2 linked regions of the Astyanax mexicanus genome follow. The protein of the gene in region 2 interacts with the protein of the main gene of each other region in a pairwise test. Links are inferred from orthologs where the notes say so. Each region holds a gene or a part of one and is shown on either strand. Other genes may lie near its edges. The genes, in order: rev1 and poli.

What was found.
Region 1: the proteins of poli (region 2) and rev1 interact in a two-hybrid assay, tested with the Homo sapiens proteins (2 studies listed by BioGRID). The link is inferred for Astyanax mexicanus from reciprocal best matches to the Homo sapiens genes POLI and REV1.

What each region holds. Positions count from the first base shown.
Region 1 is NC_064418.1:24,899,639-24,916,339, forward strand, and holds the start of rev1 (DNA repair protein REV1), read right to left. Parts: upstream 8,022-16,701; 5' UTR 7,744-8,021; intron 3,639-7,743; 5' UTR 3,629-3,638; coding exon 3,572-3,628; intron 2,531-3,571; coding exon 2,398-2,530; intron 873-2,397; coding exon 704-872; intron 1-703. UniProt on the Homo sapiens protein: Deoxycytidyl transferase involved in DNA repair. Transfers a dCMP residue from dCTP to the 3'-end of a DNA primer in a template-dependent reaction.
Region 2 is NC_064429.1:10,971,149-10,988,084, reverse strand, and holds the start of poli (DNA polymerase iota), read right to left. Parts: upstream 8,035-16,936; 5' UTR 7,978-8,034; intron 7,972-7,977; exon of another isoform or gene 7,901-7,971; 5' UTR 7,898-7,900; coding exon 7,843-7,897; intron 7,053-7,842; coding exon 6,936-7,052; intron 6,745-6,935; coding exon 6,580-6,744; intron 5,708-6,579; coding exon 5,564-5,707; intron 4,862-5,563; coding exon 4,625-4,861; intron 966-4,624; coding exon 787-965; intron 248-786; coding exon 156-247; intron 1-155. Other genes in the region: pgam5 (serine/threonine-protein phosphatase PGAM5, mitochondrial), read left to right, coding at 8,859-9,088, 9,762-9,934, 10,052-10,177, 10,810-10,898, 11,377-11,510, 13,083-13,233. UniProt on the Homo sapiens protein: Error-prone DNA polymerase specifically involved in DNA repair. Plays an important role in translesion synthesis, where the normal high-fidelity DNA polymerases cannot proceed and DNA synthesis stalls. Favors Hoogsteen base-pairing in the active site.

The sequences.
Region 1 (16,701 bases), on a different chromosome or scaffold from region 2:
TGCACAAACAACACAGGAACGAACTGTTCCTAACGCTCCTGTCTAAAAAGGCTGCATTGTTGCTTTGCTTCAGCACTGCCTGTGGGTGGTCGCAAGCCAAGGTGGTTGAGGCCATGAATACTAAATTAAGAGTTGACATGGGTGCTTTTCTTGCTCGACTCGTTTTTCTGAATGTTTTTTTACTTGCTACTGCAGACAATTGAGGTTTTAGGAACAGTTTCATGTGCAGCATGCATATACACTTCAGGAAGACCTACTGTATTACATAAACAACAAGGAAAAGTGTTTTGAAAAAGTTGCAGAAGGATACCTTAAAAGCAGAAATCACAGAATGGGACATATGACATAAACATAGATATAGATTACATTTTGAATTTTTCAAAGTTTTCAAATTTATCAGGGTCTTATCATGAGGAAAATCAACACCAGTGATGCATGTACTCAGATGTTCCAACTTTCAAAGTCATGGTAGTCAGTGGCAAACAGGCCTGCTGCTCTACCTGACATATTTTAACAGTTAATCTAAAGCCTTTTACTACTTAAACAACGGTAACCCACCATGCTGAAAGCTAATAAATTGTCAAATATTATTTACACTACTTGCTAAGAGACCACTAATTCATATGTTGCAAACTGAAGCACTGAACAATTAGCATGTTTACTTATTGACCTCATTATGTGTCCCCAGCACATACACACAAACCTGTCAGTAATCCATTCTGGCCGTACTACTTTCTCCTCTTTTAGCTCCTTTATTTTGCTGTTTGGCAGGTTGGTGGCAATGATGTGTGTAGTTTGGGACCGTGAATAATACAGATGGAACTGTCCTCCATGTAGCATCATTAGCCTGCGCAACTCATCTGCACTGGGGTCTGATCAAAACACAGGACAGGACAGACACATAGTCCAGATCACACTGTTCTCAAACCAGACTTTTGCAAGCATAATAACAGTACAAGTAGAAACTTACATACAATTGTAATAATGCATAAACAACAAAAACAAAAGAAAGAAATTTTATGAAAATTCAAACTGAAAAATATTCCCCACAGACTGTATGTGCAAGACAAGGCCTGTCAAGTATCAGTAAAAAGTTTGGACATACCCTTTCCCAAATTGTTTTTTGTCTTTATTTTTTTTATTATTTTCTACATAGTATATTAATATTGAAAACATACAAACTATGAAGTAACACATTTAATTATGAAGCCAAAATCTGTTTTATATTTTAGATTCTTCCGATTAGCACCTCCTGCTTTGATGCCAACTTTACCCACACTTGGCTCTATTCTTTCTGTCAAAAGAATAGAACCTGGAATGGTTCTCCAATTGTCTTAAAGGAGTTCCTAGATGTGTTGAACACTTGTTAACTGCTTTTCTTCACTCTGCGTTCCAACTCTTATCAACTCCCCTGCTTTGGGTTTTTTATGGACAGGTGTTTGCATGTATTCCTTTATAGTTTTTAAGTCTTAAATATTAATCTACAATCTTATAATACAAATAAAAAACAAATATTAATGAGAATGTGTCCACACCTTTGACTGGTACTGTGCATAAATATGTCTTCGCTTGCTGCTGTCAAAACTGTGTATAGCAATGCTGTTCTTAATGAATTGGTCATTATGCAACATGCAAAATATTGGCAAAGTTTATTCGTAAAACAAACAGAAGAAAACCACAATCGGCGATTTCAAGGTGGGCAAAAATGATTGAGGTGATGTACAGTGCACTCCAAAAGTAATGAAACAGTGAGGCCGATCCCATTTCTGCTGTAAACTGAAAATACATTATATTACAAATACATGAAAATGACATCAAAAGATATATAAGACAATAGATCAACATTTCACTTTTTATTTCCAGTTATTATATCTGGCTCTGATACACAGTTCAGAGGATAGCACCTTCTGTCTAAACCCACTCATTGTTCTTGTGAGCAAAAGTATTGGAACAGATTAACTTAAAGTAAATTAAAGTGAATAAGACTTTATATTTAGCTTTTGCAAATCTGAAACTGAGAGTTTATTGTTTGAATAATTAATGTATCAGGACACATCTGGGCAACAAAACACACCTGACAGTCACATGTTCCAATACTTTTGCTCACAAGACAAACGGGTGGGTTCAGACAAAAGTTGCTATATTCTGAACTGAGTATCAGATCCAGATGTAAATACCTCAAAATAAAAACTGAAATGATGATATTTTGTCTCATATAAATATTTTAAAGTCAAATTCATGTCAATCTACAGCAGAAACAAAGGTTTTGACCTTACTGTTCCAATACTTTTGGAGGGCACTGTATATCTTTTGTACAGTAAGTCCATAACATAATTATAGTGACAGGCCTATTCAAGACTATGCAAGTATGTTCAAAAATAAAGACGTCCCTCTGACCTGTGTATCCATTAACATAGATAGCCACTCCACTGAAGATGCTGGATGAGGCTCCCCGATTTTGTTTTTCTCTGGGAGCATCCTTCTGAAACTGCTCCTGCAGCTTAGAAACCTTAGCAGCCATGTAGCCTCCCTGTATCCAATCATCCATCCATCCATCCATTCATTTACAGGAAGACAATAAACAGACAAGATAGATTTTGTAAACAGTAATCGAAACTCATTCATACTTCCAAGTTTAGAAATGGAAGGGCAAGCCTGAGTTGCTGAGAATAGCTGGTAGAAACACAGAGACACGCACAAAGAAAGAGCTGGGCAGTGTCTGGCTGACAAGCGTCTGATTACGCTGCAGACATTCAATGAGACTGGAGGTGTGAGCCTGCTGGCACAGCGACTCTGTCTCCATGGCAACGGACAGAACGCTGGGATTCAGGAGTTGAGTCTAAACCAATAAACAGACAAAAGAGGGAAAAACCCAGCACACCGGTCCTCTGCAGCTACAGTACCTCCATCCCAAAATCCCAAAATTCCTTCAGACCTAATTAAGCCAGTCAGACATTCAAAGACATAAATTTAATTAAAGTCTCAAAATACACTCTGGAAATGCATATCTGGAAAATCCAGGCCTTCCATACAGACCACATACTAGTGCTGAGCGATTTTCATTGACAATTAATTTGGTTTATTTAAATTACTGTTTAACGCTAATTTCAAAAAGGGGTACATTGTAAATTTTTAAACAGGGGCATCTCTTAACCCTGATGCCAAGTCTAACAGCAGACAGGCTTGTGCTTCTGTCAAAAAACTGTATAAAAAAAAAAACTCTTATGTAGCAGTGACTTTTATAATATATCTGAAGGTTATATTTGTACCACATTTAATATAAAGCTGCTTGCAAGGTGGAACATATTCAATTAAAAAAAACTTAGAATATATAAGCAGCTGCAGCAATGCTTTAGCCAGAAAACTAAAATACTGCAAATACATGTACAGTAACATCTCAAGACAAACTTGTGTACTTGTGTAGGGTGAAGGCTTTACTTTTGAGTTTACTCACCATTAGAATACACATGAAAATGTCTAGACAACTCCAACAACTCATAACACGCCCCTCCACACCTAAAATTAACTGGAACAAACATTAAGGCACATTTTTGGAATGCAGTGATCTTACCCGTCCTCCCCAGCCATCATCTTCACTAGCTTTCTTCCTCCATCCATCTCGACTCATGCTGAGGAACCTGAGAAAGAAGAAAAGATGCCAGATTTAGGCTGGTACCCTGAAGCTGTATGGTACCACAATTACACCAATGTGTTTTCCCCTCATTAAATATGTGTGTCCTGACATTATCGTATCAATCTATGCATCTGTTCAACTACACCTACTAAAAATACTTTTATGCAAAAGTAATATGTTTAAATGAAATAAGATACAACTATGATTTCGTACATTTTCATTATGTGGCGGTATAATTGATAATTTATGTTCCAGATGTAGGTAAATGTAACCTTGGAACTTTTTTGTTTGGATGATACACTGTCCCAGAAGTAACTAAGGAAAATAATATTATTGTAATTTTAATGTCACTTATATAATGCAAACATAATAGCCTAATAAAGCAACTGCACACTTTTTAATTTTGAAATATCCAATAAATAAAGCATACATAAAATAAAAACAATGTTTTTTCACAAAGGCCCCATACAAAGGCACAAAATATAAATGGGGTCTTGTCTATAAACTGTACAATAACATAATGATCATGGCAGAACATTAACACAATGCTGCCACCTAAGCTTAGATTATTTAGGGTAAGCAACATATTACAATCAGAAATATATCCTAGTCATCAATTTCTGGAAACATTAGGCAACAAATGAAGAGTCAGTTCTTGAGTGTGATGTGTAAAAAGCAGAAAAACTGCTAAGGGTGAGATCTGTTGTGGTGGTACAAGGGATTTTTAGACAATATGAAGCAGGTGGTGCTAATGTTATGACTGATCTGTGTATACTGGCAGAACTAAATCCTAGTTTAGAAATAAGACAGACAGACAGACAGGCAGGCAGGCAGGCAGGCAGGCAAGCTATCAGACAGAAAAATGCCTCTCTAATTCTACTGTAGACTCTTATCTTCTTCCCTCGATGGTATGGAATGCTCCATCCAAAAATGCAGGGGAGTTTAACACCTCTGCTGGCAGCTTATTAACAGCACACTGATGCTGAATGAGCTTTGTTAGAAGGGAACCACCCCCTTTCTCTTGCATGTCACTGTTCAGCCTGCTCTGTTATGCTGCGAGTGTCCTCACTGCCACATGTCGCACAGATACAGAACCAGACAGCCACACAGAAACACACATCATCTCTCTCTCCACAGGGATCCATATCGACTGAATCTCCATGCCTCCGACTCACACAGACATGGTGCAGACGCTACTGTTCTCATCAGTCAAATACTCTCCTCAGTAAAGTCAAACATCCCTCCCAGGGTCTGTCTCTTTCCTCGCACACTTGCTGCGTTTGAGTGGGAGGTTAAACACTGAGGCTGGGAGCACTCAGTGAACTGCTGGGTTTCACAGTTTCCTCACCAGAGCAGATTTAAGCAAGATATCAAGGTTTTGATACCAGCAACAACAATAAACAAAATTTTATCTGTACCCAAAATGCTGCCTCTGTGATGGTTTAGGTATGCACTGGGCACCATGCTAAATAGTGAGATAGAGACTTGAATGTTTATGTAGCGGATTGGGTTTTATGGCTCCACTTTTAATGAAGCCAAATATGTACAGTATATCCTTATCAAACTACTCTACTAGCCCTAAATAGCATCTGTGAAATCTAATGAACAGAGTGAAAGAGAAAATCGAGAAGCAGACCCCTGGACTACAGCAAAGGGCCTGAGATCAGATCAATTCTGTTTACAGCAGCCATCAAGCCCATTTTGCCAATATAGCTGCACACCTCATTGAACGTAACACCCCAACAACCACCACATTGCACTGCACAAAGCACTGTTCAGTCCCACTACACATCCCTGACTCTCTCTACATAACCCCAACTGCTGCATCTGACTTTACTGAAATTACATTTAAAACATAAGTAAGAAAATTCGGCAGGCTCTTTGTTAATTGAAAAAATAACTACAGTTCAATCGTATAAAACATATAAACAAATAGCTAATGTGAAAGAAACATCCCAAATCATCTGATACATTAAGATCACAACATTAAAAACGTAAAAAAAAAAAAATAGTAACAAAATCTATTGGACTCAAGAGGAGAAAGTATTTAAATGTCTAGACGGTACCAATTACAACTGCATTCTGAATCCAGAAGATGTTCATGTCAGTGATAAATGATCCTAACCTCATTTCAATCTCCATTAAAACACTGCCTCAGCCTCAAAGTGGCTTAGCAAACTTAATTCCTTTGTCAGCAGCCACAGTATCAACACGTCTGCCTACCGTCCAGACCACACATCTTGTTGTGCCATGAATAAAATGATGCCTAATCACAAGTTCTGGGCAAAATTATGTCAAATGAATTTTACAACCAACAAACATTTTCACTGATTATTTTACACACAAATAATGAATGGATATTTTCATGTATTTCATGCACCATTGCATTTTTCTTAGCTTTTTTTTTTTCTTTGCTTAGCTGTTTAGGGTGTATTAGCATTAACAGACATTTTAGCAATAATTACTAACAAAATGTATTAAAATAAGTAATATAAAAACCATACATGGAAAATTATTACATTTCTTAGAGGATCTAAATGTCGGTTCTCAATTAATTCCCTAGCCAGGCACTCTGGAATCTTATTTTTTAATCTTGGGTTTTGTGATCCTGGCAGTGTACTAAGCTGTTAGTGACTGGCCGCCTAGTGTTATACCCACCATTGATTAAAAAATAATTATAATTCAGGTATGTAAATTTCATTTAAGATACCAAATAAAGACCTCTTTTAGGAAACTATAAATTAACACAAGCCAAATATCAACAATATCTTAGTTGGACCTGGAGTAATACAAAATAACATTTGGACATGAACTGGACAATAACAAACATATTTACTTCACTGACATTTCAACACACATTATTTTACAACCTATGTTTCTGACTGACGTTCTTTGAATGATGAAATTACCTGAGCTGGCATATTTATTTTTCCGAATATTTTAGATGTTTGTATGTGCAGACCTCCATTGCAGTCATTCTTGCCAGTTTTCTTCTTTCATATATTTTACCCTACTTTTTGAGAGCTTATACTCCCGCACACAAACAAACAAATTAGCTATGATAATAAGCAATAAAGGGTTAAAAAATAAGTAAATATAATTTTTTTTCCAACTAGGAGAGATACAAAAATGTAATATCATGAATTGTTGACATTTTATTGTACACAATCATTCTATTTTTATAAATGCAAATAATGCAAACTAAGAACCATTAAAAACCTAATTTAATAACCACATCTGCATTAATGCAGTACTCATGTAACTATTTAAATCGGCCTGTTGATCCTCGTTGCCCAGCTCGGCTGCACTGACTGCTTTACTGAAAGCAGCACATGCTTAAGGGGTCACCAGGGTCGCAGGTGTACCAGCAGTCTGTCCAAGTTCCCGAACATAAACAAACTGTCACACGCGGACCATAATTCAGCTCTACGTTTCATTGTCCAGCCCACCCGGACACACACACACACACACACACACATAAATATATATATATATAAATAATGTCAGTCACACTGGTTTAATGCCTGACTCGAGCTGCACCAGGACAAGCTTGGGCATGCCAACTACTGACCTGCAGGACTGAGTAAGGTTACTACTACCGGGCGGACTGACGATGGCGGTCATATTTAAACACATGTCCAGAGCGAAGGGTGACACTGGATAATATATATAGAGAGAGCTGGGTTAGCGGACAGACAGTGCTGTGTGTAGTTGTTAGCTCACATAGCCAGCTAACGTTAGCTAAATCAGACAGGGGCCGTTTAGGTTATGTTGGGTTAGCTAGGTTAGATTAGCGAGTTAATTGTTCTCTAAATGAGCTGGAGCGGGCTGGTGCTGTGGTATTCAGATTAAACCGAGTTAATCTCCAGTCAGACAGCGCTGTAAACACACAGCACACTTTCACACACCAGACCAGAGAACAGAAAGACTGGAGGAAAAGGCAGCTGAAGTCAACGACACATAACCGTTACATAACAACACAGCTACGACACAGACAAACACAAACAAACCGCAGCGGCTCTTATCCAGGTGTGTGTTTGGACTGTGGGCTGTCTCTCTGTTCGTGTCAGGGGCTCTGAATCATCTGAAAAGCGAATACTGCTGCTCACCTATTCTCCCCTTTTCTACCGGATAATCGACTCCGAAGCAGCGCGCCGCTGTTTCCCAGGCTCCGCCGAGGCGTCCACTTTAACCGTTCAACAGTGTTTTAACCCAGTATTAACGGAACAGCCGCGCAGACACGGGTCTTTGGATATCGAGAGCATGTTTTCGGGGCTTCAGAAGATTCCCTCTCCCCTCATAATCTCCGCTTTCCATCGCCAGGCGCCGTTCAGCGCTCTCTGTAGCCCCTCTCCTTCCTCCGGCTCCTCCTCTCGTTGTTTCCATTGAAGCTCCGCCTCCTGCGCGCCAGGTCAGACTCTCCGGGCCTGCGCTGCCCTCACAGCGCCACCTGCCGGCCCGTGGCCCACATTACTGTTGTCGCAGTGGCTAAACTGAATATTTACAAAAAAACCTTTCAGATTTCAGATTAAATAAATAAATTAAAAAATTAAACAGCATAAAAAGATTTAAAATTCAGATCTAATCACAATAAGACATAACAGAGTTATATAGAGACTTATATGCCTAACGTTAATGTTGATCTGCCCTAGAGTGACTGTCAAAGCAAAGCACAAACACTGTGCTGCCCCCCGGTGTTATCACCGTGCATGTACAGCTGGAAGTCCCAACAGGCTGTCAGTCTGATACAGCTTAATTTTTTACCTTAGATGTAAGGCTTTATAATAAAGTCAAAAGTGCAAATAAACAAAAAGTATAACATCTACCAATGCAATTATATATTTTTCCAAATTTACACAACAAAACTTTTCATTTTGCACAAAAGTTTCAAAACAGAAATTAGATGTTTAATTGTGTAAACCTTGTTATTCCAAATTGTTTTGGAATGATCTTTAAAGTTATTGTTTAAATAAAGCAGACTACAGGGTATATATATACTGTAAAGGTGTAGTTATTGGTTTTTACTGTAATGTCTGTACTGTTTTATTTTCTCACTTGATGAGTGTCTCATACATGTCCTAGTAATAAACAACTCTGGACGTGGTTAACATAAGGCCTCTGTTTTGTACAGTAAAGTTTTAATTAACTCTGTATTGTAGTGATGGAAAAAGTTGGCCAAAATAGTTCCTTTGGCCATGTGGTTCTATCAGCTATCATAGGTGTTTAGCTTAGGCTTATGTCACATTCTCTCATTTTCTTTGAACAGCTTAATGATAATATGCACTTTAGAGGAAGAAATACGCAAATCCCTTTCAGTCTTCATGAAACATTGTTTTAAGATATTTAAATACATTTGTGATGCATTTATTACAAAGTGGAGATACTCTGCCCATCTTTCCTTCTCAAAGAGCTATTCATGGATACTGCTTTTGTACCAAATTCAGATTATAATCATCTGTTGACATCACATGTTTAAAATCACATCACACATGTTTCTTACCTCAGAACTAACTCTAAATTTGTCTACTTTCATGTGGTTTGATAAACACTGATCTTAATTAGATCCCACTGCATCCTCTGTGTGTTTTACATCCTGTTGGTGTGTTGGTTCACTGATGGCTGATAGTGGAGATTCTGGGATGTTAGCAGGAGCTATATATCCCTAGAGGGTTGCAGCTGGATGTTGATGATTCTTTGGGCACTGTTAATAGTTTGTTGCTGGATGTGTTTCTTCACAGTTTGTGGGTGGTTGATAAATTTGACTGAAAAAAAAAATCTCAAAATTAAGTCATGGAAATCACTGGGTTATATTGTACCAACCCTTATCTTTCCAAATCTATATATGGTCTTATAATTTTTTTCTTGAAATTTACAGTCTTTACACTCTTTACAGTCTTAGTAAAAATGGGTATAATATGATAATGTACGTTAATTTATCCTGATTCTTTATCATTACTATATAAAAGTATAGCATTGCTTACATGCAAATATGTTACCTTTTGCATTTTTTTTTTATTATCTACACACATAGGAAGACGTTTCATCGAAATCTTTCAATATACTTGAAATTATTTTGGGAATACCTTATTATAAAAGTGCCAAAATTCTTGTAACCTTTGCTGGCACTATTCCTCATATGTCACATAAAAAAGTTTATGATAAATAACCAAAATCCTTAATTTCTTTAAAATCCTGAATGTCACACCCTATGACAGGGGTGTCCAAACTTTGTAAACTCTGTAATAAAACAAATAATAAAATATACCACTTTAAATAATACTTTTTTCCTGATTATTTCATTTACAGACCATTTTACTTGACTTACTATCTTTATCTTTGACAATGTTGAGAAAATTAATATTTTTCAAATTGATGTTTAATTTCATGATGTCTCTTAATATTTAACTCCTTAATGATGGCAACTTTTAGACTCTTTGTCCCGTTTTTCTGCGCTAGAAATGTGCATCCTCTCCGCTTTTTGACTCTTTGGCCCGATTTTCTGCTAGAAATGCACACCCTCTCCGCTTTTAGACTCTTTTGCCCCGTTTTTCTGCGCTAGAAATGCGCACTCTCTCCGCTTTTAGACTATTTGGCCCGTTTTTCTGCGCTAGAAATGTGCACTCTCTCCGCTTTTAGACTCTTTGGCCCGTTCCTGACACCTAGCATTCAAACTTTGAATCTCACATTATAAAAACCTGCTTAATAGCGGGCCAACTTTCATTCTATTTCTAAAATACCTCGCGGGCCGCTCCAAAAAAAGAAAACGGGCCGCAAATGGCTGTGGATGTATTGCTAAAATCAGTGTGCCACTAAACATTGTGACACATTTGGCTTCTACTTAAAGAAACAAACAGAAGAACCATAGGTTTATGATACAGTGGACTGCAATTGGGTAAGATTAAACTTTTTCTTTTGCATTCAGAAGTCTGAGTAAGTCAGTGAATCTGCATGAATGAGTGAGTGTTGCTGTTTAAATATTACATTTGTGAATAATATACTATAAAAATGTGTTAAACTAATAAAATATTTAAAACACTTAACTATTAGCTATAACATATGTATCTAATAGCATTATTTATGTATTTAAATTCAGTTTATATCTTATAGTGTGACAAAATTGTTATATGGTGTGATAAGAAAACCCTGTCACACCGTATGATGTGTTAAATCATATGACGTTTCATGTACTTAGCATGAGTTTAAGCAATGTGTCTTTATGCTAGCATCATAAAACCATGCTAACTACAATAATGACAATATAGTTTTAAAGGTAATATTGACTGAAAAGTAATTTATTTGGCATTTTTGTGTAAAATGTGTCACAACATATGACAGTGCAAAATGGAACTGAAGCAGGAGTGCTAGATATACTTGATTTTTCTGAAAACATAAAGAGCGATAACACATCCTGTAACTTTAGTGTCCTTCTGAGGTGTTGTTCTTCATCCTGAGAGAAGGAGAACCCCCACTCTCTTAAGGTGTCCAAACAATAGCCCGTTTAAAAAAAGGAGTATGGCATCACCATATGACTTTTATTTTTGGGACAAAATGTTTTTGCTAATGGGGGCTCTAAAATATTATGCCCAAACTTTTAGCAAAGCAGACTCATAAGTAGACATCTGGTTTATTATGTGAGCGTTTTCTGGTTTGCACAGCACTTTCTGAACAATATTATCACAGTTTTTGACATATTCTTCTATAATTTACATATATTTGACACACTGAATGAAAATAAGGCCATGTCATGTCAACCACCCGTGAACATCTGGTACACTAACCTGATGCTCCAAACCCTGCAGCAGTAGAAAGTGATAAACAGGTCTTTCCTAGAGTTTATTTTCTTGAGTAACCTCTACAAACACAATTTTAGGCTGTTTTAAGAAATTCTCCTACGGGAGCATCCCCCCCAGATTTCAACATATACATCTATAAGGGCACTCGTAGTAGTAAAAGCACTGATGATGTGGATAGGCTGGATTAGGACTGACCTCTGTACCAGTGGAAGCACAATGAGATGAGTTTAATTTGGAATAAACTGTACAAGAACACAGTGCAATGAAATTACTTTCCTCCAGCACCATGGTTCAACATGAGCCAAGCTCAGTTCCATTTCTGTGTGTTGAGGAGTCAGACCGCCTGGTGGAAGAAGCTGTTGCAGAATCTGGTAGTGGAGGCTCGGATGCTCTGTTATTTTCTGCCAGACAGCATCAGAATGAAGAGAGTGTGAGGGATAGGTGTGGTCATCCACAATGCTGGTGGCTTTGCTAATGCAGCAGGTGGTGTCGATTATTTTTATCTTGGAATGAACTATGGCAGTATTTTGGAGTCTCTTGCAGTGAGACATGGCATATGCAGTATACAGACAGTATACAGTATACATATGCAGTATTGTCTTCTCATTCCTACTCGTCAGTCCTTGCCACACATTATTTTTTTTAACATGCTTTCACTAGATTTTTTGCTGTCCAGAGGCGAGTATATTGAACTGTAGCCTGCTATTAACACCGGCTAGCACTATTGGAGCAGCATTAGCATTAGCCACTAACCACGCCAAGCACTAGATCTTTGCTGTTCAGAGGCAAGTATATCGGCCTGTAGCCTGCTGATAACCCCGGCTAGCACTAGCTCTTTCACCGGTCAGAGGTCAGTTTTATCGGCCTGTAGCCTGCTGATAACCCCGGCTAGCATTACTGGAGCAGCATTAGCATTAGCCGCTAACCACGCTAAGCACTAGATTTTTTGCTGTTCAGGGGCGAGTATATTGACCTGTAGCCTGCTATTAATCCTAGCTAGCACTACTGAAGCAGTATTAGCGTTAGCTGGGTCCTTTGCTGTTTAGAGGCGAGTATATTGAACTGTAACCTGCTGCTAACCCCTGCTAGCACTGCTGGAGCAGCATTAGCATTAGCCGTTAACCATACTATGCATTAGATCTTTTGTAGTTCAAAGGCAAGTATATTGGCCTGTAGCCTGTTGATAACCCTGGTGAGCACTACTAGAGCAGCATTAACATTACCTGCTAACCACGCTAAGCACTAGATTTTTTGCTGTTCAGAGGCAAGTATATTGACCTGTAGCCTGCTGATAACCCCGGCTAGCACTGCTAGAGCAACATTAGCATTAGCCATTAACCACGCTAAGCACTAGATCCTTTGCTGTTCAGAGGCCGGTATATCAGACTGTAGTCTGCTGCTAACCCCTGCTAGCACTGCTGAAGCAGCATTAGCATTAGCCACTAACCATACTAAGCACTAGGTCTTTTACAGTTCAAAGGCGAGTACAACGGCCTGTAGCCTGTTGATAACCCTCGCGAGCACTGCTGGAGCAGTGTTAGCATTGTTTGCTAACCGTGCTAAGCACTACACCTTTTGCTGTTCAGAGGGGAGCATATCGGCCTAAAGCCTGCTAATAACCCCGTCTAGCACTGGTGGAGCAGCATTAGCATTACTTGCTAACTGTGCTAAGCACTACATCTTTTGCTGTTCAGAGGGGAGTATATCAGCCTAAAACCTGCTAATAACCCCGGCTAGCACTGCTGGAGCAGCATTAGCATTGTTTGCTCACTGTGCTAAGCACAAGATCTTTTGCTGTTCAGAGGCGAGTATATCGGTCTGTAGCCTGCTGCTGACCCCGGTTAGCACTGCTGGAGCAGCATTAGCATTAGCTGCTAACCACGCTAAACACTAGATCTTTTTCTGTTCAGAGGCGAGTATATCAGCCTGTAGACTGCTGCTAACCCTGACTAGCACTGCTGGAGCAGCATTAGCATTAGCTGCTAACCACGCTAAGCACTAGATGTTTTGCTGTTCAGAGGCAAGTATATCAGACTGTACCCTGCACGTTTACCGTGTTAAAACAAACTATGTGGAATGAACTGCTAGCTAATATTGCTTACCGGAACACTCATGGTTCCTCAGTGTAGCACTGTCAGGTGGCATTTAGTAGCGCTAACCGTGGCATTTTTTTAAAGGAGAGAAATGTGTGTAGATTAACATTCAGTGCTCCTTTGAATTTAAAAGATTTTTTTTTTAAGAAGTACAGTTTTGTTTACTAAGCTTAGCTTTACCACATCCCTCCCCTGCACCTTATAATCCGATTCGCCTTATAGTGCGAAAAATATGGTGGTTGTTAGGGTAAAAAAATAGGTAAAGCACTAAACACAAACAAATGTAATCTTATGGAAATAACAGGTGAAAACTTTATAGATTCCAGTAATAAATATTTTAATGCAAGCAGATTTTTTATGAGGTCATGCAGTGTACCATCTTGGGATGCTTTGAGTACCACCAGTGGTACCCATACCACAGATTGAGAACCTCTGAATTAGACTATGCATGGCCAGTGTTATGTCTCCCTCTGCTGGCATAAGTGGGGATTGCACCAGCCATGTGCTTTAGTAGCTTGGCTTCTCACCTGAGACCCATCATGACAAGATACAGCAACAGCTCAAGTACTTCTCACTGTCTATTTTGTGTGTCTGTGTTGTTTAGTCTGAGTGTTGTTAGTCTTTTTGATTTCTGACCTCTTGCATAGTTCTGGGACCTGATTATTTTGCCTCTGTTATATCTGCCTGCCCTGACCCCTTTGTCATGTTCTGAGGCTTTCTTTTTTGTCTCTGGCTTGTCTCTGTGCACTGTCACAAAGACATGTCAGTCAGCAGTACAATTACATTACATTTTATTACCTCTATTACTTAAGTAGCAGTGAGTAGTTTGAGGAGAGAATATTCAATCAAAGTGCTCCCAGAGTTGAGTAGATTAATCTAAGGCCCTGTGCACATTAAAAATATATATTTTTAAATACAAATGTTTTTTTTTTTTGCATTCAAAAAAATATCTTTATCCACACCAGCACAGAAACACAATACCACTCAAAACGGCAGTAAATTGCCAGCCCAGTAAAGAGGGATTGTACCTCCTAAAAAATTACATCAAAACACATGTTGAAGAAGAGAACTAAGAAGTGTACTCTAGAATTAAATTGAATAAAAAAGCCGTACATGTGTTATGAGTCTGTAAATATGACGAAAAACATTGTTCTCATGTGAATGGCAGGCAAAAAATATTTTTTGAAAATATCCCCAAAAAATATCTGTAAGAAAGCAAATTAGCTATTCATAAGCAGCTTTAAACTAGGACTGGCAATGCATGCCATTCATTTGGAAACTTTTTTAAATTTTTTTAATGTTTAATTTTTATGCGAATTACTAATGTTTCCAGAGCCTGGTGATGTATTAGCGAATCTAACTGCAAGTTTTCTATTTTCAAGTTGTTGAAGTGGAATATAAAGCTACGCTAGCTTTTCCTCCACAGTTGCTCTCAGATACATGCAGTAACTTAGCACATCAAAATATTCTAATGTAAAAACATCACAACAACCCTTTGGTGTCCAGTAAATACAATATAATGTAATGTAATGTCATGAAAGTCATACCTCACTTCACAATTTTTTGTCACCCTCCCAAAAAGACAGGAACATATCAGCAAAAAAAAACTAAAGAAATAATAAAAAATAATGATTAAATCACAGAATATTGTGGTGATAAATATATTGCCATTTTTAAATGATGAAAGTCTGAAAGGCATGGCATACATGACAACACAAAATACAGCGAAATACCAGCATTTAATATTAATTAAATTAATAATAATTTTAATCATTATTTAATCACAGAATATTCTTGTGTAATGCAAAAATATAAGTAATAGACACTAATAATATAAATAGATTTTGCCAATCTAACCCTGCTTTTTCATTTAAATACTCATTATTAAAAGCTTAGTCTTAAGAACAATAAAGTGTGATTAATCACAGATTTCTGTTGTGATTTTGGTGAACTGATACTTACAGCTGTTTTGTCCTAGAATCATGGACTATTGCCTTTATATTAGGTTGTTGCTAAATGCAATTAAAATGAACCCTGCAGAATGAATAAATTCTGACATATTAAAATGTTCCACAACTTGCAAAAGAGGAATTCAAAACGAAATCAAAATGCTCACAAAGTAAAAATAATGAAACAGAAAATTAATCTGTTTAATTATAATTCTATTTGTTTTGAACAAGCAATATGAAATACATTCAGCAAATTATCATTGTTAGAAATAATGTTGAAATGAGAAATTGGTTTTCTATTGGTTTAGCATGATATTCAGTCTAAATATGCAATCAGCAATAACGTTATTAATCTAGCTTACTTTCCTAACTCAAATTTACATATTGGTAAAAAAAAAACTAATGTGCTTCAAAAAGGAAGTAAACATTAGTACTAAAGTAACAGCTCTCTCACTCAGGACTACATCACTTAAATCTGTGCAGTGAGCATCAGAACATCTACACTAGCAAACAGCTAATGACATGCACCATGATGCAGTTTTATACAGGAATTTACAGACTCAGCTGATATTTAGAGTAAGACAGCACTTTAAATGTAAAAAGAAAGCACATTTAATCTAAAGAGACAATCCATATTACAGAAAAACATTACAGAAGCGCTTCACAATGATGCATTAGCTAAATCTGCTTCAATTGGTTCATTTAGTGTCAGTTTTTTGTCATCATGCTACCATGCAAGTAAACAGTAGGGGTGTTTACTTGCAATAGACAGTATTGTTATACAATGAGCAAAAATTAATATCCTGAATAAACACTGCCTGGCTAAAAAAAAGTCAGCACCGAAAAAAAGGTCATGCACCCTAATATTTCTTGGACCGCCTTTAGCTTTGATTGCATTTTCTGTAAGGTAAGGTAAGGCAAGGTAAGCCTTTATTAGTTCCTCAGTGGGGAAATTCACAGTATTACAGCATCATAGGGATAGCAAGGCACTCAGATAAAAGAAACAGTTCAGTATATAGAATATAATCAATACAAAATCTAGCAACACTTTGCTAACAGAAAGTACTTAAAATGAGGGAGAAAGTCAGAAAAAAACAAAAAAAAAAAACAGGACCTGCTGCAACAGGTTGCCACCTCCACAGCGCCATCTTGTATATATCTTATAGTATAGTGCATTTTATGTAAATTCAGAATTATTTTCATAACTACTTGAAAGATTTGTTTTGTCTATA
Region 2 (16,936 bases):
AAACAGCAGTATCTGAATTTGCAAAATTAGATTAAAATAAAATCCACAGTAATACAGAACAATACTGAGCTTTATACACCTCTAATCCACACTGTGCTGATATGAGTGAATAGCTATACCCACCTTTAACCCATTCTATTGGGCTGTTCACTCACCTCTCACACAGGCTGTTCAGCAGTTCAGTCACTTTACTCTGCACCTCCCTCACTGTGGAGATCTTCTTAAAGGAGTCTTCATCACTCAGAGACTGAAACCCAGTCAAAACCCAGTCAAAATCTGGTTTTGGGCTGATTAGATTGATAAAGATAAATATAATACTTAAGTGGTCCAGCAGGCTAAATGCTGCCACTATGATCGAGAAAACGCTGGTTCAAATCTCAGTCATGCAGCTTGCCATCAGCTGCCGGAGCCCTGTGAGAGCACAATTGGTCTTGCTCTCTCTGGGTGGGTACAGTACAGTAGATGGCGCTCTCTCTTTCCCCTCATCACTCCTAGGGTGATGTGGATCAGCACAAGGCTGCATCTGTGAGCTGATGTATCAGACCAGAGTCGCTGCGCTTTCCTTCGAGCGTTAGCTCGGCAAAAGAAGTTCAAAAAGAGGCGGAGTCTGACTTTACCCTTAGTCTTCAACCTCCTGGCCATCAGCTACCTTGAGACCATTGACAAGCACCTCGCATATTTTTTTCACTGTATTTATTACTATTATCTTTCGCTCCAAAGCGACAAAAACAGTGAAACAGGACCTTAATCACTATAAGACATGCTGATGTCCAGAGCTGGTGTTACCTGTGGAGGTCCTGCAGGAGTCACAGGTGAAAGGTCAACGCCGCATGCAAGGTTCTGTATCCGCCTGCCGTTCACTTCACCAAACTCACGGATCAAATCCCTCAGAGGAAACAGCTGCAGATCCCTCACACTGACCACGCCCAGAACCTTCAGCTTCTCCACCGTCCTGTAGCCAATCCCTGTAGCCACCACACAAAACTACAGTAAATACAATATACAATACACTGGCCACTTTATTAGAAACACCTTCTCTTACTATCTGCTTCCACTCACTGTGGCCACTTTATTAGAAACACATAAACTTAATATGTGCTTCCACTCAGTGTGGCCACTTTATTAGAAACACCTTCTCTTACTATGTGCTCCACTCAGTGTGGCCACTTTATTGAAAACACCTACTCTCCTATGTGCTTCTACTCACTGTGGCCACTTTATTGGAAACACCTACCCTTACTATGTGTTCCACTCACTGTGGCCACTTTATTAGAAACACCTGCGCTTACTATATGCTTCCACTCATTGTGGCCTCTTTATTAGAAACACCAACTCTATCATGTGCTTCCACTCATTGTGGCCACTTTATTGGAATCACCTTCTCTTAATATGTGCTTCCACTCAGTGTGGCCCCTTTATTAAAAACATCTACTCTACTTTGTGCTTCCACTCACTGTGGCCACTTTATTGGAAACCTTTTTTTTCCAAAAAGCTCACACTAGTGCACCTGCACGGTTGTGCTGGGTCAGGTAGGTGCAGGTGAGGAGGAGATCGGATCTGATAGAGAGGTGAGATGATCAGGTGATGCTGGATCAGATGACAGTGATATCAAATGATTTGAATGGCAGACAGCATGCAGCTTATAACAGTGAGAAATGAATATCATTTATACTCATTTGTGTTTCAAATAAAGCAGAGGGTGGAGTGGATCAGGTTGCAGACCAGAAGTCTGGTTAAAAACAGAGAATTTAAATAAATATGAGCAGAAAATTAAATATCTAAAAAATAAAATAAAATAAAATTTACAATATCATTGGAAATTGAATTTATTTCAGTAATTCAGTTGAAAATGTTATATAAACTCATATATTATATAGATGTAATACACACAGAGTGATCTATTTTAAGTGTTTATTTCTTTTATTGTTTATGATTATAGCTTACAGCCAATGAAAACCCAAAAATCAGTGTCTCAGAAAATTAGAATTTTATACAAGACCAGTTGGTACTTTTGGCAGTGTGGGCAGTGTGCCAAATCCTGCTGGAAAATGAAATCCACATCTCCATAAAAGTTTTCAGCAGCAGAGAGAAGCATGAAGTGCTGTAAGATTTTGTGGAAAATCAAAACTGCACTGACTTTAGACTTGATAATAAAACACAGTGGATCAACACCAGCAGATGACAGACATGACTCTCCATCAAACCAAGGGCGTAGGAGCGGGCTTGATATTGGGAGGGACACATTTGCCAATATGAACCCAGGCCCACCCTATAGTTTCCTAGAACAACATTTGTGGAAATTACTTTTAATTAAAAGTAAATTATTATTATAAGGTGATTTTACAACTTAAACATGTAACTCCACGTTACAGTTACTGCATGCAATGACTGAATTATATACATATGACAAAATGTTCAGTTATCACCTAATATTTTAAAATAATATAACAGATTTGTTTATTATTATTATTATTATTATTATTATGTCAATTCTGTTGTATATTTACATTTTATGCCGCACATTTATTTTTTTTTTAACTGAGAGCTCTTCTTAAGATGGTGTCCTTTTATGTAAAAGAATGTAACTTTACGTTTCATAGAGATTTTTATAAACATCAGGACATGTGGTCTTACTGTGAACTACAAATGAACAGAAGTCACGTTACAGCAGTGTTTCTCAACCCTGCTCTTACATATTCTACTGAATATTAACACTGTTCTGCATATTCTATGGCTTCCTCTGCTTTAAAGGCATTTAATAAAGTAAGTGGTGGTATAATGTGTCTAATACACTGCTGGATATACATGATTAATTTAGGCTCTATAGGGGGCTAAAGTATTTTAACAGGTAAACTCAGTAAATGACTGTTTATTAGCTGATCAGGTGGAAAACACAGTTTTGGGGCAGTGATCAGGGTTAGGAAACTGCTTTAAACTACAAACATAAAGTACTGTACTACATTCTGTCTATCCACTACATCTAGCTTCTAGATAACTAGTTAGCTAAATGTATTTTCGTTCATTATAGCTCACAGTAAGCCCTGTAATACTAAATTAATTGAAAATGAAACAGTAATTAGCTGATCAGGTACAGGGCAAGTTGAACATTACATTTATAGTTTATTTTTTTCTTTAACCCTGACTCCCAATCTATCTAATTCCAAAGTTAAGCTAACTCACTAACACAACTGCAGTTTATTAATCACAGTGGGTTTAATCTGTGTGCTGATTCAGATACGTGTATTTTTAACCAGCTATCAGAAACAGATCATCACAGTTGAAGTGGTTAGCCTACCGTTACCTTTCTTTTAGTAAAATCTCCGTATATCCAGATCTGATTTAAAATCAGCTGAAGCTGCTGCAGCTCGATCCCTCTGCTAAATCTCACAGCGAGGGGGAGGGGCTTCCCAACAGCAAACTGCTTCTCCGGCTTCGTGATTGGTCCGGTCTGTCTCCTCATTAATAGTACAGCTGGTCTGAGCGAAAAGATGTCATTTTTGGGGGAGACAAATCCACCTGTTTCTAATATTGGGTGGGACATGTCCCACCTATCCCCCCCCGGTTCCTACGCCAATGCATCAAACCATCACTGATCATCAGTAAATTTTACATTTCATTTAAAGGAAATCAAGGGATCACAGTCTGGAGGAAGAGTGGAGAGACACACAGTCCAAAGTGCTCGAGGTCTAGTGTGAAGTTTCCACCAATCAGTGATGGTTTGGAGAGACATGTCTGTCATCTGCTGGTGTTGATCCACTGTGTTACCTTAATGCTTTCCTCTGGTGACAACTTTTATAAAAATAAGGATTTTATTTTCCAACAATTTTTGCAACTGTTTCGTATTTTAGCGTATATTTCAATAATCTCATCAGCTTCAAACTTTAGAGTAGGTGTTTCTAATAAAGTGGCCAGTGAGTGAATGCACAAAGTGGCAAGACAGTGTGTTCTTGATGAATAGGGAGTTATTCTATTATTACTGTGTAATTATACACTGAAACGCCAAATGTCATGGGATGTAATGCTAGCTTCTGTCCCATGACATTTGGCGTATCAGTGTATAATTACACAGTAATAATAGAATAACTCCCTCGTGGCGTGTCCCATAGAAGCTAAAGAACACTGAGCGCTGAGCTGTGGGATATGTGGGCGGAGTCTCCTGCATTAAATGTGGATGAAGAAACTGATGTTTTTTGTTGTTCACATGGACATTTCTAGCCAGAAACTGCCGGTCACCATCATTACCCCCACTGCTATATATACAGCTCTGGAAAAAATTAAGAGAGCACTTCAGTTTCTGAATCAGTTTCTCTGATATTGATATTTATAGGTTTATGTTTGACTAAAATGAACATTATAGAATAAAACAACAAACTACAGACATTTCTCCCAAATTCCAAATAAAACTATTGTCATTTATAGCATTTATTTGCTCCACCAGTCTTACACACTGCTTTTGGATAATTTTATGCTGCTTTACTCCTGGTTAAAAAATTCAAGCAGTTCAGTTTGGTGGTTTGATGGTTTGTGATCATCCATCTTCCTCTTTAATTTGGTGAAATCAAAGAAACTCATCAATTTCAAGTGATCTCTTATTGTTTTTTCCAGAGCTGTACTTTGTGTTTACCAGGTACTTTGCAGGGTCCGCTCAGGCTGTTCATCAGCTCTGCGCTGCTCTGGGGGAGGAGCGTGGTCTGCTGGTTGGGTTTGAAGGCTCCGGAGACCAGCTTGGCCAGGAGTTTGCTGGTGGCGACGCCGGCGCAGCTGGTCAACCCCAGCCTGCTCCTCAGCGCCTCCCGCAGTTCAGCCGCGATCGCCGATCCCACCGCCAGCCTGGAGTGATCTCCCACCCCCACGGACGAGGCTGCAGACACACAACATTACAGATATTGGGCCCTATCGTACATCCATCAGAGATTAGGTATATATCTAAACTGATGGGCGTGGTGGTCTGGAGGTGAGGTGTATTCTGGTAAATATCCGGTGTGTCTCTATCTTGGTGGCAGGAAATACAGGTGCGCCACTGACTGATTAAACCCTGACAATAGTCAATAGTCAGCCGGCTAATCCTATCATGGACGTTGCACTCGCTCGTGTACACCTCCACTTGTTAAACAAAATAAAACGTGCTTCAGCGCTAATCTAGCTTACATCCACAATAAACAAAATAAAGAATAAAATAACATTGCTGTTGAGAGGTGACTAGGGGTGGGCTTATTTTGTTTTTCATTTCATATTCATATTGAGAATATAGTACTGCAATATATATAACAGTTTTACACATTTAGTAAAAACAAAAATGCCTAAAAACGTTTGTCTATTTCATTAACAGTAAATTAACAAAACTCTGATTTTGTATAAAATAAAAAATACAAGAAAAAAAAATTTAATTTACCTCAAAACTTAAGTGCAGTATATTTAGTGCCTGTATATATGCTTTCAAAAATATCACAATGTCATGATATTATCACATACGATACAATATGGTATGTACGTTCAGGCCTACTGTATTTGGGTGGTGTGAGTTCTGATGATTAGTGTTGTGTGATTGGGTGCATGGCTTTACCCTCGTGTCCGTAGACGTGACCCACGAACGAGAGATCTGAGATACTCGTGTCCTTCATCCTGGTCTCCACCATCTCTGAGACGTCCACAAAGTTCTCATCAAAGCCCAGGCGCTCCACCAGGGGGCAGAACGACATCAGCAGCTCTGAACACAAACACAAAATCAGAGATCTCAGGATTTATGCTTAAATATCTCTTTCTGGAGAACTGTCTAACACCTCCTCAGCATCTGTGCTCCGCTGCATCCACAAGGGCGCACAGTGACCGGGCGAAAGTGGATGCTCAGCCAGAGTAGTGATTATAACAGTTCATACAAACCAACATACTCTACAGAAACATCACCCATCATTACCCATCATTACCCATCATCACTTATCATCACCTCAACCTTCTGCTCCTCTGGAGCTCATTAAATACATCACACACACAGCATATGGACATAAGTAACGGGACGGCTGCTCATTTATTGTTAATTCTGAAATTTACGGTATTAACCCTCCTGTTCTGTTCTGGGTCAAATTGACCCGTTTTAAAGGTTTAAGGATCTAGGAAAACTAGTTAAAAGTATTTTTTCAGTATGAAACTTCTTCAGCTTGCCTTCATTAAAGTAATTAACGTATGATATGAAAATGGTTCATCTCATAAATTTGCAACCACCCTCTGCAAAAACTAAAACTAAACAAAATTGCAATGTTATTTTTTTATGTTAAATGTAAAACTATGGTGTTTTATTATATGTTGGTCTTTCAAAAGTATTTAAGGATTAAACTTCTTTATGTAAAAACAAGTGAATTAATCAAACTGAAGCATTACCTGTTAGAAATAAGGAACATCATTGCAGTAAATATTGATAGTATAATTAGTAATGGAGTTAGTAATTAATTACCCGGGAAAACCATTGATGTTCCTGACAAATAAACACATAAGGAGGGTTAAAAGAGTTTATTCTACGATTGTTGGAATATTAAACAGTACTGTACAGTATACCAGTAGAGAACAGGGCTGGATCTGCTGTACCTGTGACCTTGTAGGAGATGTCTCTGTAGTGTGTGAGGTCCTCTCCCTTCACCAGAACCAGATCAGGACATTTCTCCAGCGCCTCCTTCACTCCCATCAGCTTCGTCACGCCGCGCTCCCTCGCCACGTAGTTACACGTCACGATGATGTACTTCTGCTGAACTCCTGAAACGAGAGGTTGAGATTAGAAGAGTTTATATTTTCTGCTTGAGGCCGAGCCGAGCCTGATTTCCCGACACTTTCCCCGGCAGGGTCGGGTCCAACACCACACAAACTACAATCTTTACAACTAAACTAATGATTAAACGCACTAAACCGATACAGTATTTTTACAGGTATACAGAAGCTTTCAGCACCTAGAGGTTTGGACCGAAGGGCGGGGTTTCTGATCATCTCCACCTGAGCGTAGAAACAGTCCAGGTCAAAGTGAAGGATGACCCTCTGACTGTCCTCCACAGCTCCGCCCACAACACCTGAAACCAGAACAACATCTTTTGGGCAAAAAACTGACACCCCATATTTCAGCCAAAGGTTTGTAGACACAGCTCTATTAGCCACATGTATTTGCATTCCACCATTTAGCCAAATGTTTTGGACACATTTTTCTTAACCAAATATATATGCATTGCACCAAATAGCCAAATGTTTTGGACTAAGGCTTTAATGTTTAGCCAAATGTTATTTGACTCTTATATTTAACCAAATGTTATTGAACTCTTCCATTTAACCTAATTATATTTGATTAGACCTCGCCACCATTTGACCAAATGTTTTATTTTTTTGGACTCCTCTATTTAGCCCAGTGTTTATGGACTCCACCGTTTAGCCTAATGATTCTGTTTTTTAATGCTTGTGCCAAATTCTTTGTACTTTAATATTTAGCCAAAGACTTGTGGACTCCCCAACGTTTTACGACGTCAACCTTTAGAGCTAAATGTTTTTGCACTCCAGTATTTAGTCAAACGTTTTTGAACTATAACATTTAGCTGAATGATTTAGGACTTCAACATTTAGCCAAATGTTTGTGGAGACAATTTTAAAAGCCAAATATATTTGCATTCTACCATTTACCAGTAATTACATGTTGAAACTTAATTTAAACAAACATATTACCATAAAACACAAAAACACCTTAGTAACCAACACCTGTACCACGTAACCCTGCTGATCTGCTGTTTGACTGTAGCTGCAGCTCTGTTACTGCAGTGTGTTTTTGGTTTAGAGCTCTTTAAAAAGAAAAAATCAGAGAGTCAGAATTCATACCTGTCTCCATCACTGCCCAGCCAGGCTCCTCCTCCTCCTCCTCACCTGAGTCCATCACCTGATTTTACAGGGAGAAAAGAAACGGTAAACTAAAGAGAATAAAAACACAGATCTCCTCTATAAACTCGAGTTTACCTGCGGAGCCGCTGCAGCTTAGCCGCACTGACCCCTACCGGCCCGGAGCCTCACAACTACCTCACCACATACAGACAAAAAATACAGTTACATTAAATTAATAACGAGATAAAACTAGATAAAAGAAAATGAGGTGTAATGTTTATCATTTGCATTTTTTCAGGATAAATTCTAAATTAAAAAGGTGTGTAATACCTCATTATTTAATTGAGTACAAAAATTTAAATTATTTTTCCTTTCTTTCCTTTAATTCCCTTAATATTATTCGTGATAGTTTTGAAACAACTATCTTTTAGGGCAAAATGGTGGTAATTTGGTTATTTTTTTGTCTTGTAACAAAAGTAGGGTTGGGTTATAACGTCTTTATGAGTTTTTGTTACAAGAAAAAAAAATCGGGTAAAGAAAAAATATTTTATTAAATTATTTTTTTCTTTCCTGAAATTCTGTTTGTGAAGGGCAGAAAATGTAAAATATTAAAAATTGAAAAAAAAAATGTTTGAAAAAAGTTTCTGTTTGACTATATTAAATGAAAGATCTAATCTATTTGGTTAGCTTTGGTGAAGACTTTTATTTTGTCGACCCGTCTGCCATTTTGGTTAATCTGTTAACGTTAGCTGGCTGGTTAGTAGCTGTGTGTGTAGTTCGTTATTAGCTGAAATAAAGCGTGTTTTTAATGATTTTCATTGTATAACTTTTCTTGTTTTGTTGTAAAACAGTAAATATAATATTTTTGTAGTTTAGGATATTATATGTGATATTTATCTATAAGTTTGGAGCAGCAGTTGGAGCTTTTATCATGCAGGTTTGAGCGGCTGGTGTTGTAGCTCCGGACTCGGCGGCGTTTCCCGGTACTTTCTCCCGGACTCTACTCGCTCTCTGGCATGGCTTTCCGCAGGGCCGCGGGGCTGGTGTGCGGCCTGGCTGGCGGCTCGGCGGTGGTGGTGTGGGCGGAATGGAGGGGTTATTTGGGGGAGGACCGCGGAGAGAGCTGGCGGAGTAAAGCGCCGATCACAGCCGCTCTCAGCGCGCTGCACGCCGCTCACCCCGCCACACAGCCCGCGGGCCTGCCGGTCTACAGCTCCGGCTCCGGCTGGGACAGCAACTGGGACAGGTAACCCGGCACTGATTCACCCGTCACAGCACAGGTTTACACGACCCGTCACAGCACAGGTTTACCTGACCCGTCACAGCACAGGTTTACCTGACCCGTCACAGCGCAGGTTTACCTGACCCGTCACAGCGCAGGTTTACCTGACCCGTCACAGCACAGGTTTACACGACCCGTCACAGCGCAGGTTTACCAGACCCGTCACAGCGCAGGTTTACCTGACCCGTCACAGCGCAGGTTTACCTGACCCGTCACAGCGCAGGTTTACCTGACCCGTCACAGCGCAGGTTTACCAGACCCGTCACAGCGCAGGTTTACCTGACCCGTCACAGCGCAGGTTTACACGACCCGTCAGAGCACAGGTTTACTCACCGCTGGTTTACCTGTCACAGCACAGGTTAGCCCCGGCACAGCACAGCTTTACCCGTCAAAGCACAGCTTTACCCACCACTAGTTTACCCGTCAAAGCACAGGTTTACTTGTCACTGGTTTACCCCACACAGCTCTGGTTTACTCCCAAACAGCCCGGGCTGATCCGATTTTATTCAAGCTGGCCTTCTTCAAAATAAATGTAGTTACCAAAACTGACCAAAACACATGAATGAAAATACAAACACATAAACTCCACCACAGGGGAAGGGACTCTGCTTTATCGTGCTTTTCTCTCGGTCTGTAGGAGGGACCCGTCCACGATGATGAGCCCCAGGAGGAAGGAGAGCAGTGGGGAGGAGAACAGCACTGAGGTGGAGAACAACAAACCCAGAGCCACCCGCCACATCTTCCTCATCCGCCACTCCCAGTACAACCTGAACGGAAACGGAGACCGGGAGAGAACACTCACTCCACTGGGTACACCCAACCACTGGCCACTTATTATATATATTATTATTTATATAGTATTTATTATAATATATTATATTATATTTTATTTTATTTATTAAATTTGTGTGTGTGTGTGTGTTACAGGCCGTGAGCAGGCTGAGCTTCTGGGACAGAGGCTGGCAGATTTAGGGCTGAAGTACGACGTGATGATACACTCCTCAATGGCCAGAGCCACCGAGACGGCCAGCATCATCAGCAGATACCTGCCAGGTGAGATACTTAAAGGTTTCTTACCTAGAAAAATGTTTCTGTGATGTCACAAAAATAGTACATTCACATATCTCCACCTGTTCACATAGTGCACGTTAACCCCACCCACTCACACTTAAATAATAATAAGTGTTTCACCATGGGCTGTGCTCTGATTGGCCACAATGTATTTTCCCTCGGAACAGAGCTCTTTTGTCACATCAGTAGGCATGTGACAGTTACGTTATTGATCTATTGTACAATATATGAACACAACAGTAAACAATTTTACTTATCGAGGAGAACCGATTAATCAGGTAACGTGTTGCTCTTTAAAAGGGAATATACTGCATCTATATAATTATGCTGATAATAATTATACATATTTGTTATTATTGCAGTGGCAGAAAATCTTAAAATCAGTCCTTTAAAATGACAACAACCTTTATTAACCTTTACAATAATTTCTAAACCAATGCATCGTCCAGAAAAAATACTGTTGTTGTACCAGCCCTTCATATCAATTGTGAGAATGGCTGAATACTTGAAAGTGTGATGTAATAGTAACTGGTGTTTTTATGTTGTAAAAAGTACTATTACAGTGTAATAATACTGAAATACTGAGTGTAGTAATTCATTACTTTGTGTTGCAGGTGTGGAGATGGTGAGCTGTGATTTGCTGAGAGAGGGTGCACCCATAGAGCCCGTCCCACCCGTCACTCACTGGAAACCAGAGGCTGTGGTCAGTGCTACTACACACCTTTACCACACCTGTATCACACCTGTGCCACACACTTAGTGTGGGTCTGAAGATGCATCAGTTAGTCTGCTTTCTATTTCAACTCAGATCTTGAAAATTTTACTGGAACCCAGTTATATCTACTTATATCCACTAATTCAAGACCAGCCTCTAAATTGAAGTTAGCAATTGTTGAAAGTGCACTTGTGGTTTATGCTGATGCTGCTGATTTTATAAGCTAATGCTTATACATTTATACCTGATTAAAACAGTACACAGATATTTATACTGAGACAAGTTTGATTTTTAATTGTTGGTTAGAACAGTGCAAGCTTTAGAGCGACTTTGTGTGTATGTGTGTATATGTGTGTGTATGTGTGTGTATGTATGTGTGTGTATGTGTGTGTATGTGTGTGTGTGTGTGTGTGTGTGTGTGGGTGTTATACGTGCCACTGTGTGTGATCCTCTGTGCCGCTTTTAGCAGTACCATGAGGACGGCGCGCGCATCGAGGCAGCTTTCCGGCGCTACATCCACCGAGCTGACCCCAAACAGAAGGAGGACAGCTACGAGATCATCGTCTGTCACGCTAACGTCATCCGCTATTTTGTGTGCAGGTGTGTGTGTGTGTGTGTCTTTTCACAGCTGTGTGTTCGTTCACACTGTTAGCGCTGACGGTATGGCTTTCATACAGACTGCAAAGCTCTGGTGTATTACTGAATTATTCTAAATTCACCAAACAATATTACCAAGCTCTGCAGCAGCTGTATTAACATAGTTATATTTTAAATGCTTGGATTTAAAATATAAACTTAATCCAAGTGTGTTTTTGTGTTTGTGTGCGAGAGAAATGATATAGAAAAAATAAAGACGTTTACAGACAAATACATTATCCATCTTATTCTGCGCGATGAAAAGGAGGGGCCAGATTTGTTTACTGTATTTTTCGCACTATAAGGCACAATAGATTATAAGGCTCATTACGCGACACAAGTAAGGAATAGGGGTAGGTAGATAGATAGGTAGATTAGCTTAGCTTTACTAAAAATAAGTAAAGATACTACGCTAATCTAAGTAAACGAAAACATTTTAATGAGCGCTGGATGATAATCTACACAGATTTCTCTCTTAAAAACTGTTTATTTGGTTGAGTAAAGCACTTTCGTTTATTTGCAGTAAGCTTAGATTTCCAGTTTCCTCCAGCACTAAGGCTGGAGCTTTCGTCGCTAATCGCTAGGCTAAAAAGCTAGTAGTTTGTGGCCAATGCTAATGCTGTTCCAGCAGTGCTAGCCAGGGTTAGTAGCAAGCTACAGTCAGGTAATACTCAACTATAAACCATTTAATATGCAAAAGAAACTAACTCTTGAAAGTAGGCGTGGCAGAATAAGGTGGATAAATCTGATGTAGTAAATTGTATTAATGCATTTATATCTTTGGTTTTGCCATAAAGACTTAATTACTTTAAGATTTAATACTTTTTGTACATTAACATTACCGGTCAAAAGTTTTGGAACGCCCCCAATTGTTCCCTTATTTTTGCCATTTAGGACCTTCAGATCCAGTAAATAACTAAACATGGTACAGAATCCAGTGTAAACAAATAAACTGTCATTTTAGTATTATTAAAAAAAGTATATTGACAGCTTACTGCAGCATTTACACACTTACACACAACATATTCACACTTTCATCATCATAATAACTGGAAAAACACAGATAAAACACAGAGAACTCTGTTACTATTAAAAGTAGAAGTTCTTTCTTTTCTTTTGAGAAATTACAGATGAAGTCAGAGAGCGGTACAGAGTACTGTTTCCTACACCTTCAAATAAAGACTCTTGGAAACTGGATAAAAAAACTGCTACAGGAAGACGTCTGGCTGATCCACATGGAAACAGCAGCTTAAGCTTTTAGCTCAGATTAACATGATTAAGGACTGAGTCTCAGTTTCAGCAGAGAAGAGAAGAATTAGAATTAATCTGACAGGAGAAGAACTGCAGTAATAGTCACTGATAAGATAAAGATAAAATATTTTAAAAGCAGCTTGTCTTACAGCACTGATAATAGACTGGCTAAACGATAGGGATGTTCTGAATCTTTTGACCGGTAGTGTGTATATATTATTTTGTAAATAAAAAAGTGATATGTTGAACATTGATTATTATTATTATTATATTAATTCTGAACAGAGCTCTGCAGTTCCCCCCTGAGGGCTGGTTGCGGATGGGTCTGAATAACGGAAGCATCACGTGGTTGACGATCCGTCCGAGCGGCCGGGTGGCTCTGAGAGCGCTGGGGGACTCCGGCTTCATGCCTCCGGACAAACTCACCCGGACCTGATCCACCAAACTCCAGCACAGCGGCTCTGATTAAAGCGATAGATCAGAACACTCAAGTTTATATACATATATAGATGTATTCCTCCAGATGTAGTTCATCAGCAAAGACATGTCTTGTTTTGCTTATGTAACTATAAAGCTATAAAGCTAGTATTGCTAATGTAGCTAAGTGATGAAAACGTATGTACACCAGTTAGCATGTTAGCATGTATTTCAGAGATGAGTGTGTCAGAAACAACATAAACAAGCCTCCACGCTAATTGGTGTACATTAGCTTGGAGACTATGTTAGCTACATTAGCTTTCTCGTTCCAGTGTAAAACTAATCAACTAAAGATCACAGAACATCAAACTCCTCATCATATCTCCTGGTTTACTGAATAGATGGATTGAACAGAGGATGAGTGGAGTAAAGTGTAAATTTGATGGAGTACTGAACTATCGCTTTAACAGCTTCTCCTTAAGTGTCTTGAAAATAAATTTGCTTTTTGTTATATTTCTGTGGGTCTGTTATTCATGTTTCTTTGGCGATGTTTGTGCTCCTGGGTCTGTGTTCATGAAGAACTTTAAATAAAACAGAACCTGGATCTGAATGAGCTTCATCCCCTGAACCCACCGCAGGAAGAACCAACAAACAGCGTTTCTATTCATCCAATAGTTCTCTTTTCCTTTTTATCCCCTTTCTTATAATCTCCTTCTCCTCCTTCTCCACCTCCTTCTCCTCCTTCTCCACCTTCTTCTTCTCCTCCTTCTTCTCCGCGTTCTTCTTCTCCTCCTTCTTCTCTGCCTCCTCCTCCGCCTTCTCCTCCTCCTTCTCCTCCTCCTTCTCCGCCTTCTTCTCCTCCTCCTCCTCCTCGAAAAAATCCGATACCACCACGTAATAATCCTCCTCCGTCCAGAAATAATCCATCTCCGACTCGAGATCCTTCTTCTCCTCCTCCTCCACCTCCACCTCCTCTTTCTCCTCGGGAGCAGAAGGGTCGGCCTCCTCTCCAAACAACCATCTCCAAATTTGTGAAAACATCTTCTGGCGCAACAGGACTCAGCAGCCTATATTTATAGAGTGTCAGGGGCCCCCCCCACTGCCTATGAGGTCTTCGAGCGACAAGCCCCGGCCGCCCACACGTGCCAATTCAGTTTAGCCCCGCCCACTGTGCGCCGGTTCGCAGCGTGCCAGCATTGCTACTACTACATCCGAAACGGCCTCTTACTGCCTCATGAGTCAAGACGCGCCCTCATCGTTAATAACAAAACAAAACTTTATATATATATGTGTGTGTGTGTTTTAATGTTTTATTTTGTTTATTATTATTGCTGTTTTGGGAATTTATTTGATTTCTATTCTATTTCGTATTCGTCTTCTTCGTCTTTATGTGAAAAAGGTGTGGGATAGAGGGGCTTTCTAGTTCTAAGCCTCTCGTTCTTTTCTCTCAACATATCTCCTCCTCTTTCTTTACACTGACAGTCCAGTTTGATGGGCAGGTGGGGAGGCGTGGGAATGGGCTGGCTGGGTATTACATACAGCTCACTCCAGTGGATTTGCTGGGGCATGAGCTCCTCTTCATAATCGGAAGGAAATATCTCCAGTACCACAGGACTGGTTCCAGGCTCGGGGGAGGCGCCGCTGTCCCCCTGCTGCTGGTTCTGGTTCGATGTCCTCTGTTTTTTAAAAATACGCTTCAGGAATGAAATCATATTGTAACAGGTGCAACAGACCCGCAGCCTCTCTATTTATAAGACCGCTTGATGACGTCATCGAACGTTTTTATGGAATGGCACTTCCTTTATTGCTTTTTTGTGGAATGGCGTGATTTTCCTTTATTGCATTAAATCGTGTATACATATATATATATAATTTTTTTTTATTATTATTATTTATTTAAACCCATTTTATTTTGCGCTACTTTGTCTTATTGTGCAGTGTTATTTTTAATACAAACAAGTTCTACCTTCAGAGTAATGAATGGTAAACCTTTGCTAAACAAACACACTCAGTCATGAGTGTAAGGAAGACAAGCAGAAGCAGGTTAGAAGATAATGTGCACTTTATTTTCATTCCTCTCTAATTCTCTAGGTCTTTTTTATCGCACCAAGGTATTAGGACTCCTCCCATCACTAGTAATGCCCCAAACATCAGAAGGGTGAAGACTAGCACACGCCTCGTCCGCTGATGGAGGAACAGCATGACCTACTGTACTCCCTCTCTTTCTCTCTCTGACTCCAGCTGCTGATGGAGAACTGCACGCCACTGCTCCTACCCCTTCATTCCTACTCATCGCATAGTTTTCTTTTCCTCTTCACCCCCCTTTTTACAATCTCCTCCTCCTCCCCACTACCATAATACTCCGTCTCCTCCCCGCTATCCTCTGTCTCCTCCCCGTAATACTCCGTCTCCTCCCCGCTATCCTCTGTCTCCTCCCCGTAATACTCCGTCTCCTCCCCGCTATCCTCTGTCTCCTCCCCATAATACTCCGTCTCCTCCCCGCTATCCTCTGTCTCCTCCTGGTAATCCTCCTCCTCCCCTCCTCCTGATTCTTCAGAGGGAAGGCATATGCCAGTTTGATGGGCACATTCCAGTTTGATGGGCAGGTGGGGAGGCGTGGGAATGGGCTGGCCGGGTATTACATACAGCTCACTCCAGTGGATTTGCTGGGGTATGAGCTCCTCTTTATAATCGGAAGGAAACTCTACGAGGGCCTTCTTCTTTTCGGGAGGGGAAGGAGGCTCCTTATCTAAGTGCTTCCTCCTTCTTAAGGCCTTCCTGCAGATGTGTACCACAGGACTGGTTCCAGGCTCGGGGGAGGCGCCGCTGTCCCCCTGCTGCTGGTTCTGGTTCGATGTCATCTGTCTTTTAAAAATACGCTTCAGGAATGAAAACATCATAACAGGTGCAACAGACCCGCAGCCTCTCTATTTATAAGACCGCTCGATGACGTCATCGAACGTGCCCTTCCCACAAACACACACGCGCGTTCCAAGGCAGTTTAGCCCCGCTCACTGAGCGTTGGTTGGCAGCGTGCCAGCAGTGCTACTGCATGACGTCACGCTGAGTAAATTGATGCATTAACATGCGCTCGCGCTGGTCTCTTATATGGAGGACCAAATATGACATAAGTATAAATAAATAAATGCACATATAAATGTTGGGAGAAAAAAAAAAAAAAAATATATATATATATATATATATATATATATATATATATATATATATATATATATATATATAAATAATATATATAAATAAATAAATGTTTAAATAAATAAAAATATATAAGTAAATGCACATATAAATGAATAAATAAATAAATGTGAAATAAATAAATACACACATAAATACTTGTATAGGTAAATAAATAAATTAATACGTACATTTCTTATTTATTTATTTACCCCTCACTCACTGGGGGTTCTGTATTTTGTATGTTTAATGTTTTTGCCTGATTCTTTGTCCTGTAATCATGTTTCTGTAAAGCTGCTTTGTGCCAACACCAGTTGTAAAAAGCGCTATACAAATACATTTGATTTAATTTGATTTACTTATATATATTTATTTATTTATTCATTTATATGTGCATTTATTTACCTATACTTATGTCATGTTTGGTCCTCCGTACTCTTAACCCTCCTGGTATGTTCCGGGTCAATTTGACCCGTTTTAAAGTTTGAAGATCTAGGAAAAATAGTTAAAAGTATTTTTTCAGTATG